2 linked regions of the Macaca fascicularis genome follow. Each later gene encodes a partner of the first gene's protein in a complex. Links are inferred from orthologs where the notes say so. Each region holds a gene or a part of one and is shown on either strand. Other genes may lie near its edges.

Evidence for each region. Proteins that work in one complex are often made in the same cells at the same time.
Region 2: DRC5 (region 1) and DRC12 share a complex: the UniProt entries of both Homo sapiens proteins name them as parts of the nexin-dynein regulatory complex. The link is inferred for Macaca fascicularis from reciprocal best matches to the Homo sapiens genes DRC5 and DRC12.

What each region holds. Positions count from the first base shown.
Region 1 is NC_088378.1:127,220,376-127,225,505, reverse strand, and holds the start of DRC5 (dynein regulatory complex subunit 5), read right to left. Parts: upstream 3,280-5,130; 5' UTR 3,165-3,279; exon of another isoform or gene 2,648-3,164; intron 1,790-2,647; exon of another isoform or gene 1,684-1,789; intron 1-1,683. UniProt on the Homo sapiens protein: Component of the nexin-dynein regulatory complex (N-DRC) a key regulator of ciliary/flagellar motility which maintains the alignment and integrity of the distal axoneme and regulates microtubule sliding in motile axonemes.
Region 2 is NC_088388.1:118,065,786-118,070,953, reverse strand, and holds the start of DRC12 (dynein regulatory complex protein 12), read left to right. Parts: upstream 1-1,716; 5' UTR 1,717-1,759; intron 1,760-2,057; 5' UTR 2,058-2,069; coding exon 2,070-2,130; intron 2,131-2,556; coding exon 2,557-2,631; intron 2,632-3,700; coding exon 3,701-3,820; intron 3,821-4,671; coding exon 4,672-4,764; intron 4,765-5,168. UniProt on the Homo sapiens protein: Component of the nexin-dynein regulatory complex (N-DRC), a key regulator of ciliary/flagellar motility which maintains the alignment and integrity of the distal axoneme and regulates microtubule sliding in motile axonemes.

The DNA.
Region 1 (5,130 bases):
AACTATCCTCTCAGGAAAAAAAAAAAAAAAAAAGGCTGGGTGTGGTGGCTCACACCTGTAATCCTAGCACTTTGGGAGGCCAAGGCAGGAGGATTGCTTGGGGCCAAGAATTCAAGACCAACCTGGCCAACATAGCGAGATGCCATCTCTAAAAAAGAAAAAAAGTCTCATGTGACTCTTCAACCACCCTATAATGGAGCTAGGATGGGCTTCCTTATCCCTATTTTACAGATGAAGAAACAAGGAAACAGGAAATGACTGGCCCTAAAACACCTATGAGAGCCGGGGCCAGCATCTGAGGGCAGGTCTCCTCCTCTAGTCACAATACACTACCCCTCCACAGTCACTCAGTATGTCCCCTTCCCCTGGCTGTTCCTGCCCTCCACTAGGAAAGAAGAAAGAATATTCTTGCTCCTTGGAAAGTGGGGAGGGCCTCCCTGGGCTGAGAGCGCGCCCAGGCCTTTGGTACTTTACTATGGGAATTTCAGGGCCCTAATGTACAGTTTTCATCCCTGTTAGGGTAAATGCATTTTCCCCCTAAATGAAACAAAATTTAATATTTTCATCAGGGCAGTCCTGGAGGTGGCTGAAGGGTCACCTTCCTCTCTGGAGCTTTCCTTCCCTGGGGAACCTGTTGGGTCAGTCAGAGAATCCCAGAGTTTGAAGACTAGGAGCATGTTCAAGACGCCAGTCTTGAACATGGGCAGGGCAGGAATCCTGACATTCCAGAGAGGTCAGGGCCACCAGGAGTGGGTATGTCTTGTGCCACCACCTGGTGTCCCCATCCAAGGATGTGCTGTGCTCTCAGAGGGGGAAAGTGGGGACACATGCAGTGGACTTTCACTTCTCTGGGGCCTGCCTTTACCAGCTAGTTTGGCTTCACATGGCTGTGTCTCTAACCTGGTACCACAGTCCCTAGGGAAGGGACAATCCTCCTCCCCTGGGCCCCTACTGTGCATCCTCAGGACCAGGGTCCAGGGTCCTGAAATCACACACAGGGAACAACATCCATACCAGGCCATTAACTCAAAGGACCGGGTGTGAAGGACTGCTCTTTCCATGCCCAAGCACGTGTAATAGAAAGTGACAAGATGCTCCAGTTTGGCCAGAGTTGTCCTCATTTCTGATGGCTTGAATCTGGTGGACAGGTGTTCTGGGAACGATACCCTTGGCTATATATAGCTATGATTTATTGAGAGCTCTAGGCCTTCAATGGCATGTACATAGCAGGAGGCAGGACAGCAGCTGGCTAAGTACTCAGGAGTTGAGCTGCTGCCTCAAGTCAAATCTCCACAGTGCCCCCCACTATCTGTGCAACCTTGGGCAGGTCCCCGCTTGCCTCAGTTTCTTCATCTATAATGTGAGGACAGTACTTAATAGTACCTATTTCATAGGATTACCCAGAAGATTAAGGTGTTAATGTGTGTGAGACATTTCATATAGTGCTGGGCCCAGAGCCAGCACTCAAGATGTGTGTTAGATATAGTGAAGATGCTAGATGGCTTACTTACATAATTTCATTAAATTCTGAAATTAATTATTGAGGATTATTATTTAACACTATTGTCCCTGTTTCACAAATGAAGAAACTGAAACTTAGAAAGCTTAAGTAACTTACTAAATGTCACTAGCTAGTAAGTGGAGAAGCTGAGGTTTTAGTTTGTGTCTGTCTAATGCTCTTACTTCCATGAGATGCTGGGGTTGCTTATAAATTGCTCCCAACTCAGTCATTCACAGCACTTTTCCAGTGAGTCTCCCACTTTCTCCAGCTCATGAGCTCTCTTGTTCACCAACACGGAGCCCAGGGTTATCCCCTTGGTGCTGACCTAAATAGTCCAGGCTCCCTCTTCCAGTTCACTGCTGGGCACAGAAGCCTTCTGCAAGCTGGACCACTGCCTGCATCCTTTGGAGGGCCAGAGGAGCCCAACGGAGTGCTGCAGAGTAGTGCTCTCCTGCCCCTGGCACATTCCCTCCACAGGAAGTCTCCGGTCTTCTCTATCCTTCCTCAGGTCCCCAGCTAAATCTAACCATTCTGGGCAGGAGCTCCTTCCACCTGCCCTAATGGGAACACGAGGAAGATGCTGTAGGGGAGCATTCTCACCTTCTTGTGCATCACAGTCCTGGTCCTCAACTGTCCTTACCTCCCTTCCTCTTAGCCGAGAAGTGGAGACACCCAGTTCTCTTTGGGCAGACAGCACCTCTGTGCCTGGGACACTTCCCCAGGAGCTGGCTCTGCACCCACTGCTCTGACTGCCTTCTTAGCCACTCCCATCCCAGATCCCCTCAGGAGAGCCCTCGTCTGTCCTCAGGACTCTCGGCTTTTGTCTACACCCACCTCCATTTCTTTCATGCCCACCATGTCTTACTTTGGGGTAAGTCACTCCCAAGTTGGGAATTCCATTTATGGAAGGGCAAAAAACTTTCTCCAACCGGGCCTCGGCCCGCGTACTTGGACTTGGGCTGGGTGAAACCGCCAGTTCACTTACCACAGCCCCCGGGCTGGCCTCCTCCCAACTCCTGACCACTCAGGTCTGTTGTCTCAAAAGGGACTCCAGCGGTTCTGCTCCCACCCCTCCTTACCTTCAGCTCAGACACCCTAGCAAGGAAGCTCAGCTGCAAAGGCCACGGGGTCCCTCCCCCATCCTACCTGGGGTGTAGAGGCGCTGGTTTCTCCTTGGTAACCCAGGAAAACCGGCAGTGCAGTGGGAGGGAGGGAGATGCGGAAGCAAGCTTCTGGACACGCGGGAGGGATTACAGCCCTCGGGTGCTGGGAACAGGGACGGCCTTTCGCAGAAGGCTGGGGCCCCAGGGCTTGGGACCGCTCTCCTCCACGCCCTACGGATGCCCCATTTTCCCCCTCTTCTTCCCATAGTTCCTCCGCTCGCCTCACTCGGATACCCAGCCCTGGGCCAGACGGTCTGCAGACAGTGACTGTGGTGGGGAGGAGGCGCGGGGCGTCCTCGCATGGAGGGCGTGGGGTCTCCTGTGGGTACGGACCGGCGCTTCCCCGCCACAGAAAACGGAACCCAGGCAATGGCCGCCTGTGGGCTTCTGGCCGGTGTGGGCAGAGGACGCTAGAGGGGCTCCCGGGCCCAGCTGACCTGAGCGGGCCCCGATAAGGGAGACCGGGGCTGTGTGTCCCCACTCCCCCGAGGTCGCCTCACCCGCTTCGGGAGCCTCGGCGCTCGCCTCACACAGAGTCCCGCGCGCCGGCGCCGGTCATTGTCGTTGGGGACGCCCCGTGTTGCTAGGAGCGGGCCGGGCCGGGAGGACCAGTGCGCCGCGGTTCAGAGGAGGGGGCGCTGCTGCTTCCTTGGCTGCAGCTGCGCGCCGGCAAGCGGCTCACTCGCGCGCAGGGTGGCGAGGCCAGCCCTTCGGACGGTTCCGTGGAAGCGGCCGCTTTGGGGGTAGTGGGACCGTGGTCTTGAGCTATGCCCTGTGCTTCCGTGGGACGTGTCTAGGAACGGGTGGGCTTTCTGCGGGAGGTGGAGGTCGGGCAGGCTGCTGGTCTGGAGTCCTTGTGCTCTATTGCTAGCTTTTGTGTGGCCATGGATAGGGAGCTGGTCCAGGAAAAGCGTCTGTGGAAGATGAGGGTGGACGGACCTTCTCCAGGGCACCTGTGTAAGTCACTGAACTCCCCTGAGGTCTCCTGTTGACCTTAGGCCCTGCGGGAGGGCACCGTCCACCTTTTCCCCGGCTGAAAATCTGGCACCAGACGCAGGAAGGTTCCAGGCCAACAGAGTGCTCTTTCACACAGCCCATGTCCTGTGCCAAACACCCTTCCAGCCCTGGCGCCACAAGATGTGGTTGGGGCCCCTGATCTCCTGGAGGGTGAGAGGGACAGACTTCAGAGGGACGGCTAATAAAAAAAGAAAGTGGCCTTCAGGAAGGGAGAGGCAGCCAGGGTGGTGGAGGTTTCAAAGGGTAGCTTTGATTTCGGCTCTGCCGAGGACTACTAGTTGGTTACCCTGGATGTACATCTCGAAGCTCTGTTAACTCATCAATAAATCGGGGTGCCACAACTCATCTTGGCGCCCGCGGAGGAACTTGGACCAGGGCCTGTGGTGAGCACTGCTGAACAGTGGCTACTGCTCCAGTGGCCAGGATGCTGAGGCAAAGCTTTGCAAGCAGCGAGGGGCCAGGCACCAGGGATTGGGTCTGTTCAAGCCCTCACCAGTGCCTCACCAGCAAATCTATGCCTTAATTAGAATGAGAAACTGTGCAGAAAATGATGTCAGGCAGGCCCACGCTGCTAGAATTTTTACTACACAGAACTTGGTACCCAGGGAGCCCTTGATTTGAACATGGGTCCCCTGGGGCCCTTTCCTTCATCTAGCAACAGAGATCTAGGAACAGAGGCAGAGGTCCAACATCTGGCTGTCTGAGGTGGACTCATTCTAGTAGGGAAGGAGGGCTTTCCTCCATCTCTTGGCTTCCACCTGCTTTGAGGTGTCAATTTTCAGCTTTAGCTCAGGCTTGAGGCAGGTGCTGTACAACTTGTTTTAAGAAGTGTAGTTTGTCTGACCCCGCTCTCCAACCTCATCACCTGCCCCTATAGCAGCTCACTGCTCAGTGGCACTGGCCACCTCACAGCATCTGCATTGGCTGTTCCCTCAGCCTGGAATGCTTTTCCCTCAGATTTCCACATGGCTCACACCTTCACCTCCCAGCTGCCTGCTCACATGCCACCTCTTGGTGAGGGAATACCACCATCCACACTCCTAATCCCCATTATCTATTTTTCCCCCCAGACCTCATCACCATCTGACACTTTCTCCCTTCTAAGACAGGGCCTCACTCTGTTGCCTGGAGTGCAGTGGTGCGATTATAGCTCACTGTGGCCTTGAATTCTTGGGCTAAAGTGATTTTCCCACCTCAGCCTCCCAAATAGCTGGGACCAAAGTGTGGGTAGTCTCAGCTACTTGGGAGGCTGAGGCAGGAAGATCTTTTTTTTTTTTTTTGTAGACAGGGTCTTGCTGTTTGTGCAGGCTGGTCTTGCACTTCTGGCCTCAAGCAATCCTCCAACCTCAGCCTCGTAAAATGCCAGGATTATAGGCATGAGCCACCAAGCCTGACCCTCTTCTTTTGCTTTACTGCCTGTTTCCTCCACAAGAAGCAGGCTCCATGAAG
Region 2 (5,168 bases), on another chromosome or scaffold:
TCGCAGCATGAACCCGGGAGGTGGAGCTTGCAGTGAGCCGAGATCGTGCCACTGCACTCCAGCCTGGGCAACAGAGCGAGACGCTGTCTCAAAACAAAAACAAAAACAAAACAAACAAACAAAAAACCTAAAGAAACGGTCTGCAGGTCCCCTAATCCAAAAGGAGAAAAGCCCTGAAGTGTCTGCTGTTTTCACTCTAACCAGTATGGTGCCCAGAGATCCAAGTGGCAGATAGATGGCAAGCCTCAGGATAGCACAGAGCTGCAGGGAGAGTGAAGGCTGCCTGACAAGGGAGGGCCACCTGTCATACTCTCTCCCCCACATTAATTATTCCAGCCACTCCTGGCTCCAGCAGGACACTAAGAAGTATCCCCAAAGGGAGTCACCCCCAGTATTGCCCAGTAAATAATTTAAAAGCAAAAATGTGGGAAACTCAGGAGAAGGTCAAACAAGTCCACTAGAGGGAGCCCCAACCAACTCTATGCTGCAGGGAGCCTCACAAAGCAATGTCTCAACACCTGTCTGAAAATCAACCACACAAGGGAATGGGGAAATGTAGCAATAGATTAAGTAACTAGGAGAGAAGATAGCCATGTAAACACCTAGCTAAAACACAGGCTTTTCAAGAGCTACAAAATCAAACATTTAAAGATCAGGAAACTGATGCTGAGCAAAGTCAAATGGCTTGCCTCAGTTTACATATCCACAGTTGGGACTCAAACTCAAATGTCTTGTCTCTAACCTGAGCACTTTCCTGCACACTTGCATCCCTCTAGGTCAGTACCCTAGAGTCCATGGGTCTGCTGTTCCTTTGTGTCTCATTTCTCTGAAGTGGGAAACGCCCTCGACTACCTATTCCTGTACTTATTACCCTCATTCCACAGTGTACTGAAGAGGATCTTCAGTGGTTTGGGGTTTTTGTTTGTTTGTTTGTTTGTTTGTTTGAGACAGGGTCTCCCTCTGTCATCCAGGCTGGAGTGCAGTGGTGCAATCATAGCTCACTGCTGCCTCAACCTCCCAGGCTCAAGTGGTTCTCCTGCTTCAGCCTCCCGAGTAGCTGAGACTAACAGGTGTGCACCACCCTGCCAGGCTAATTTTTTAATTTTTTGTAGAAATGAGGTCTCACTGTGTTGTCCAGGCTGGTCTTGAACTCCTGGCCTCAAGTAATCCTCCTGCCTCAGCTTCTGAAAATGTTGGGATTATAGGCATGAGCCACCGCCCCCAGCTTAGATCTTCAGTTTTAAACCTACTAATGTCATTTTGCTGATGGGACCTCGGGATGTCAATTGTCCAACATGGCTACTGTCAGTCCTTTTCCTCTGTATCAGCACAACATATTATCTCAGATGTGTACATCTGAATTTGGAAGTCTCCAAATTGCAGGCCATGTCTACGTGGCAATGAATCATAACCAATCGGCCTCCAAAGCCCTTTCTTTTCAAACTATACTTAGGGTTTTGGGATAAGGAAAGAACTGACCCTTTGAGACCTTGATATTTTAAGCTTTGTGAGCTGATTTAGCCCATTCCACCTTCCTACCAACTCCATGTTTCCCAGTTGCCTGGACAACATACAGCCTCCCGAAACCCAACCTTCCAGCCCTCAGTCCTGCCCTCAAGAGAAATTTGCCACCAAGGATTGGCTCCCAGGACCCAGGCCCCGCCTCAGGCTCCTCGCTAGTTGGGCCTTCTCTCTGCCACTCCCCACGGGTGGGTCACTCCACAGGGAGCCCCAACACTGGCAGGAGAGGATCCTACAGGTAGGAAGAGGGGGTTGAGGATGATGGGAAGAGGGAGGGGAGCAGGTACAGGGATTTATCTAAAAGAGAGTTGTGAGGAGTGACTTCCGTACAGTCAGCCTGGTTGAGAGAAAAAACTTCACCCTCCCCGTTGACCCCAACCCTGCCTGAGGTTCCAAAGAGACTGTGAACTGACTTTTCTGAAGAGTATGAGATGCAAATTTGGAGTAGAACCAGGAGACTCCCCTGAGACTCCTGATTCAGTCAGGAAAGCATCCCTGTGTCCAGACCTAAACATAAGGTCCCCTCCTTCTCCCAGGACAGCAAGGAGATGCCACTTAAAAACAAAGAAAAAGGGAAGAAATCTGGGGCGCAGAAGAAAAAGAACTGGGGTGAGTCATGGTGGGTGGAGGTGCCCCCTGCTTCTCCATGTTCTGGCATGAAGACCACGCAGAGCTCCTCCAGAGAGAATTCAGCCTTCTACATGACAGGATGGAACTCTCTTGACCTTCCTCTTTCGTGTCCTTGAAGTCAGATGCAGGGAGCTGAGGAAGTGGGGAAATGGTCACTCACGCTGTCCTTTAAGCACCATCTAGCTTTGTGCCTTCCTAATATATTTGTCATGTGTATTTTGCATATCTGTTATGTGCTGGTTGGTAAGGACACAGTGCTGACTTCAGTAGACTCTGCCACCATGGATCCCTCATTTAGTGGTCCTCAGGTCTCCTGTGGCAAAAGTGCAGGGTGTGGGGCGAGGACGCAAGGAGAGTGAGGAATGCTGAGATCACGAAGAGCTGAGGCTCTGCCACTTGCCACAGCAGGTGCAGATGTGGAGGCTGAGTCCAGGCACAGGCTGGTGGTGCTGGAGAAGGAGCTGCTCCGAGACCACTTGGGTAAGGAGGGTAGAAGTTGGCATGGGGGTGGGCAACAGGGCAAGTGAAATGGGGCATTTCTGTATCCTGGGGGATTGGAGAGTTGGAGATACAGTGGGGGGCTAAGTTGAACCCTAACCATCCCCTAGTGGAAAAAGACAATGAGAGAGGGGTGGGCAGTGAGAGTTGATAAAGGAAGCTTTTTTTTTTTTTAGACAGAATCTTGCTCTATTGCCCAGGCTGGACTGCAGTGGTGTGATCATAGCTCACTGTAATCTCAAACTCCTGGACCCCAACAATCTTCCCACCTCAGCTTCACGAGTAGCTGGTGCACACCACCCTACCTAGCTACTTTATTTATTTATTTATTTATTTTTCTTTTTTAAAATTTATTTTATTTTATTATTTCATTTTATTTTATTTTACTATCTTTTTTTTTAAGACAGAGTCCTGTGCTCTGTTGCCCAGGCTGGAGTGCAGTGGCGCGATCTTGGCTCACTGCAACCTCTGCCTCCCAGGCTCAAGTGATTCCCCTGCCTCGGCCTCCCAAGTAGCTGGGATTACAGGCACACAGCCACCACACCCGGCTAATTTTTGTATTCTTATTAGAGACAGGTTTTCACCATGTTGGCCAAGCTGGTCTCGAACTCTTGACCTCATGATCCTCCCACCTTGGCCTCCCAAAGTGCTGGGATTACAGGCATGAGCCACTGCGCCTGGCCCTATTTATTTTTCTTATAGAGACAAGGTCTCACTCTGTTGCCCAGGCAGGTCTCAAACTCCTGGCCTCAAGCAATTCTCCCACCTAAGCCCCCCAAAATATTGGGATTACAGGCATGAGCCACCATGCCGGGCTATCCGGAAAGCTATTTTGTATAGGCAGAACATGGAGAGAGTCTTTACTTCTTAATAATGAGGAGCCTGTGAGACTCTAGGGATAAAAAACAAAAACAACAAAACCCAGAGAGAGAATAAGAGGCTGGACGCCCCGCCACCAGATTTCTAGAGACGGGCAAAATTCATCAAGTTCATGGGGGCTGATTTAGCGGGCCCCAGCCAGTCCTGACAGTGGCTCTGGGACTGCTCACAGCTGTACGGAGGGATGAAGCCCGTCGAGCCAAGGCTTCCGAAGACCAGCTGAAGCAGAGGCTGCAAAGGGTGGAGGCTGAGCTGGAAGGGGCCCGAAGTGAAGGGAAGGCCATATATGCAGGTGTGTGGTCTGTTGAGCAGGTGGGCAGGAGACAGGGGCCTGGAGGAAGACAACCAGCAGGGTCAGATGATGCAAGGAAGGGAAACAAGGAGGGCTTCCAACTGCCAGGCCTGGTCTTGGTCTTCCCCGAACAGTACAAATCAGGCAGGATCCTGCAGGAATCAAAGGCAGGTAGGTTCCTGGGATCCCAGGCAGGGGCCTGCCAGGATGCCTGGTGCCATGTGCTTGATGCTGTGTAGGATACACATGCAGTCATAGCCATCACCTCAACCATCCTATGGGAGGGGAGAAGGACTAGCATCCCCATCCAAAGCTGGACGGTGGGGGAGGTGGGTTGGGCTTCCTTTCCCTTCCTCAGGTTTTCATGGTCTCTAGCTTCTCAGAATCACAAAAAGAACCAAGAAGACCATGGGCCGGGAGTGGTGGCTCACACCTGTAATCCCAGCACTTTGGGAGGCCGAGGCGGGCGGATCACGAGGTCAGGAGATCGAGACCATCCTGGCTAACATGGTGAAACTCCGTCTCTACTAAAAATGCAAAAAATTAGCCGGGTGTGGTGGCAGGTGCCTGTAGTCCCAGCTACTCGGGAGACTGAGGCAGGAGAAGGGGGTGAACCCGGGAGGCGGAGCTTGCAGTGAGCCAAGATCGCACCACTGCACTCCAGCCTGGGCGACAGAGCGAGACCCCGTCTCAAAAAAAAAAAAAAGAAAAAGAAAAAGAAGAACCAAGAAGGCCTTTGTGCTCCTGTTCCACTAGACCAAGTAGAGTCTTCCCCACCCACAACTTCATTTCCTTTCTCCATCGCTCCATCTCCGACCTGGGTCCCTGGCGGCCTACTGCCCCCACCCCAGAGATGAGTCGCCAGTGCCATGCCCTGCAGGAGGATATGCAATCCCGCAGCAAGCAGCTGGAGGAAGAAGTCAAGGGCCTTCGGGGGCAGCTAGGTAGGTTTCCCCATCCCCCAAGCCCCTTGTCTCCAAGAGTTGCAGCAAGGGCCAGCATGAAGGGGCAGACTTCAAAGTCTCTGCTCCAGAAAGCTGCCACCTGGGCTCTGGGATCACTTTCCCCACTTTCACTGACCCTCCACCACCGAGGACTGGAGCAGAGGGTTCGGGATGCCAAGAATCTCTGTTGTAAGTAAAGAAGAGGTGCCAGGCGCAGTGGCTCAGGCCTGTAATCCCAGCACTATGGGAGGCCAAGGCGGGCGGATCGCCTGAGGTCAGGAGTTCGAGAACAGCCTGGCCAAATGGTGAAACCCTGTCTCTACTAAAAATATAAAAATTAGCCGGATGTGGTGGCGCACACCTGTAATCCCAGCTACTCGGGAGGCTGAGGCAGGAGAATTGCT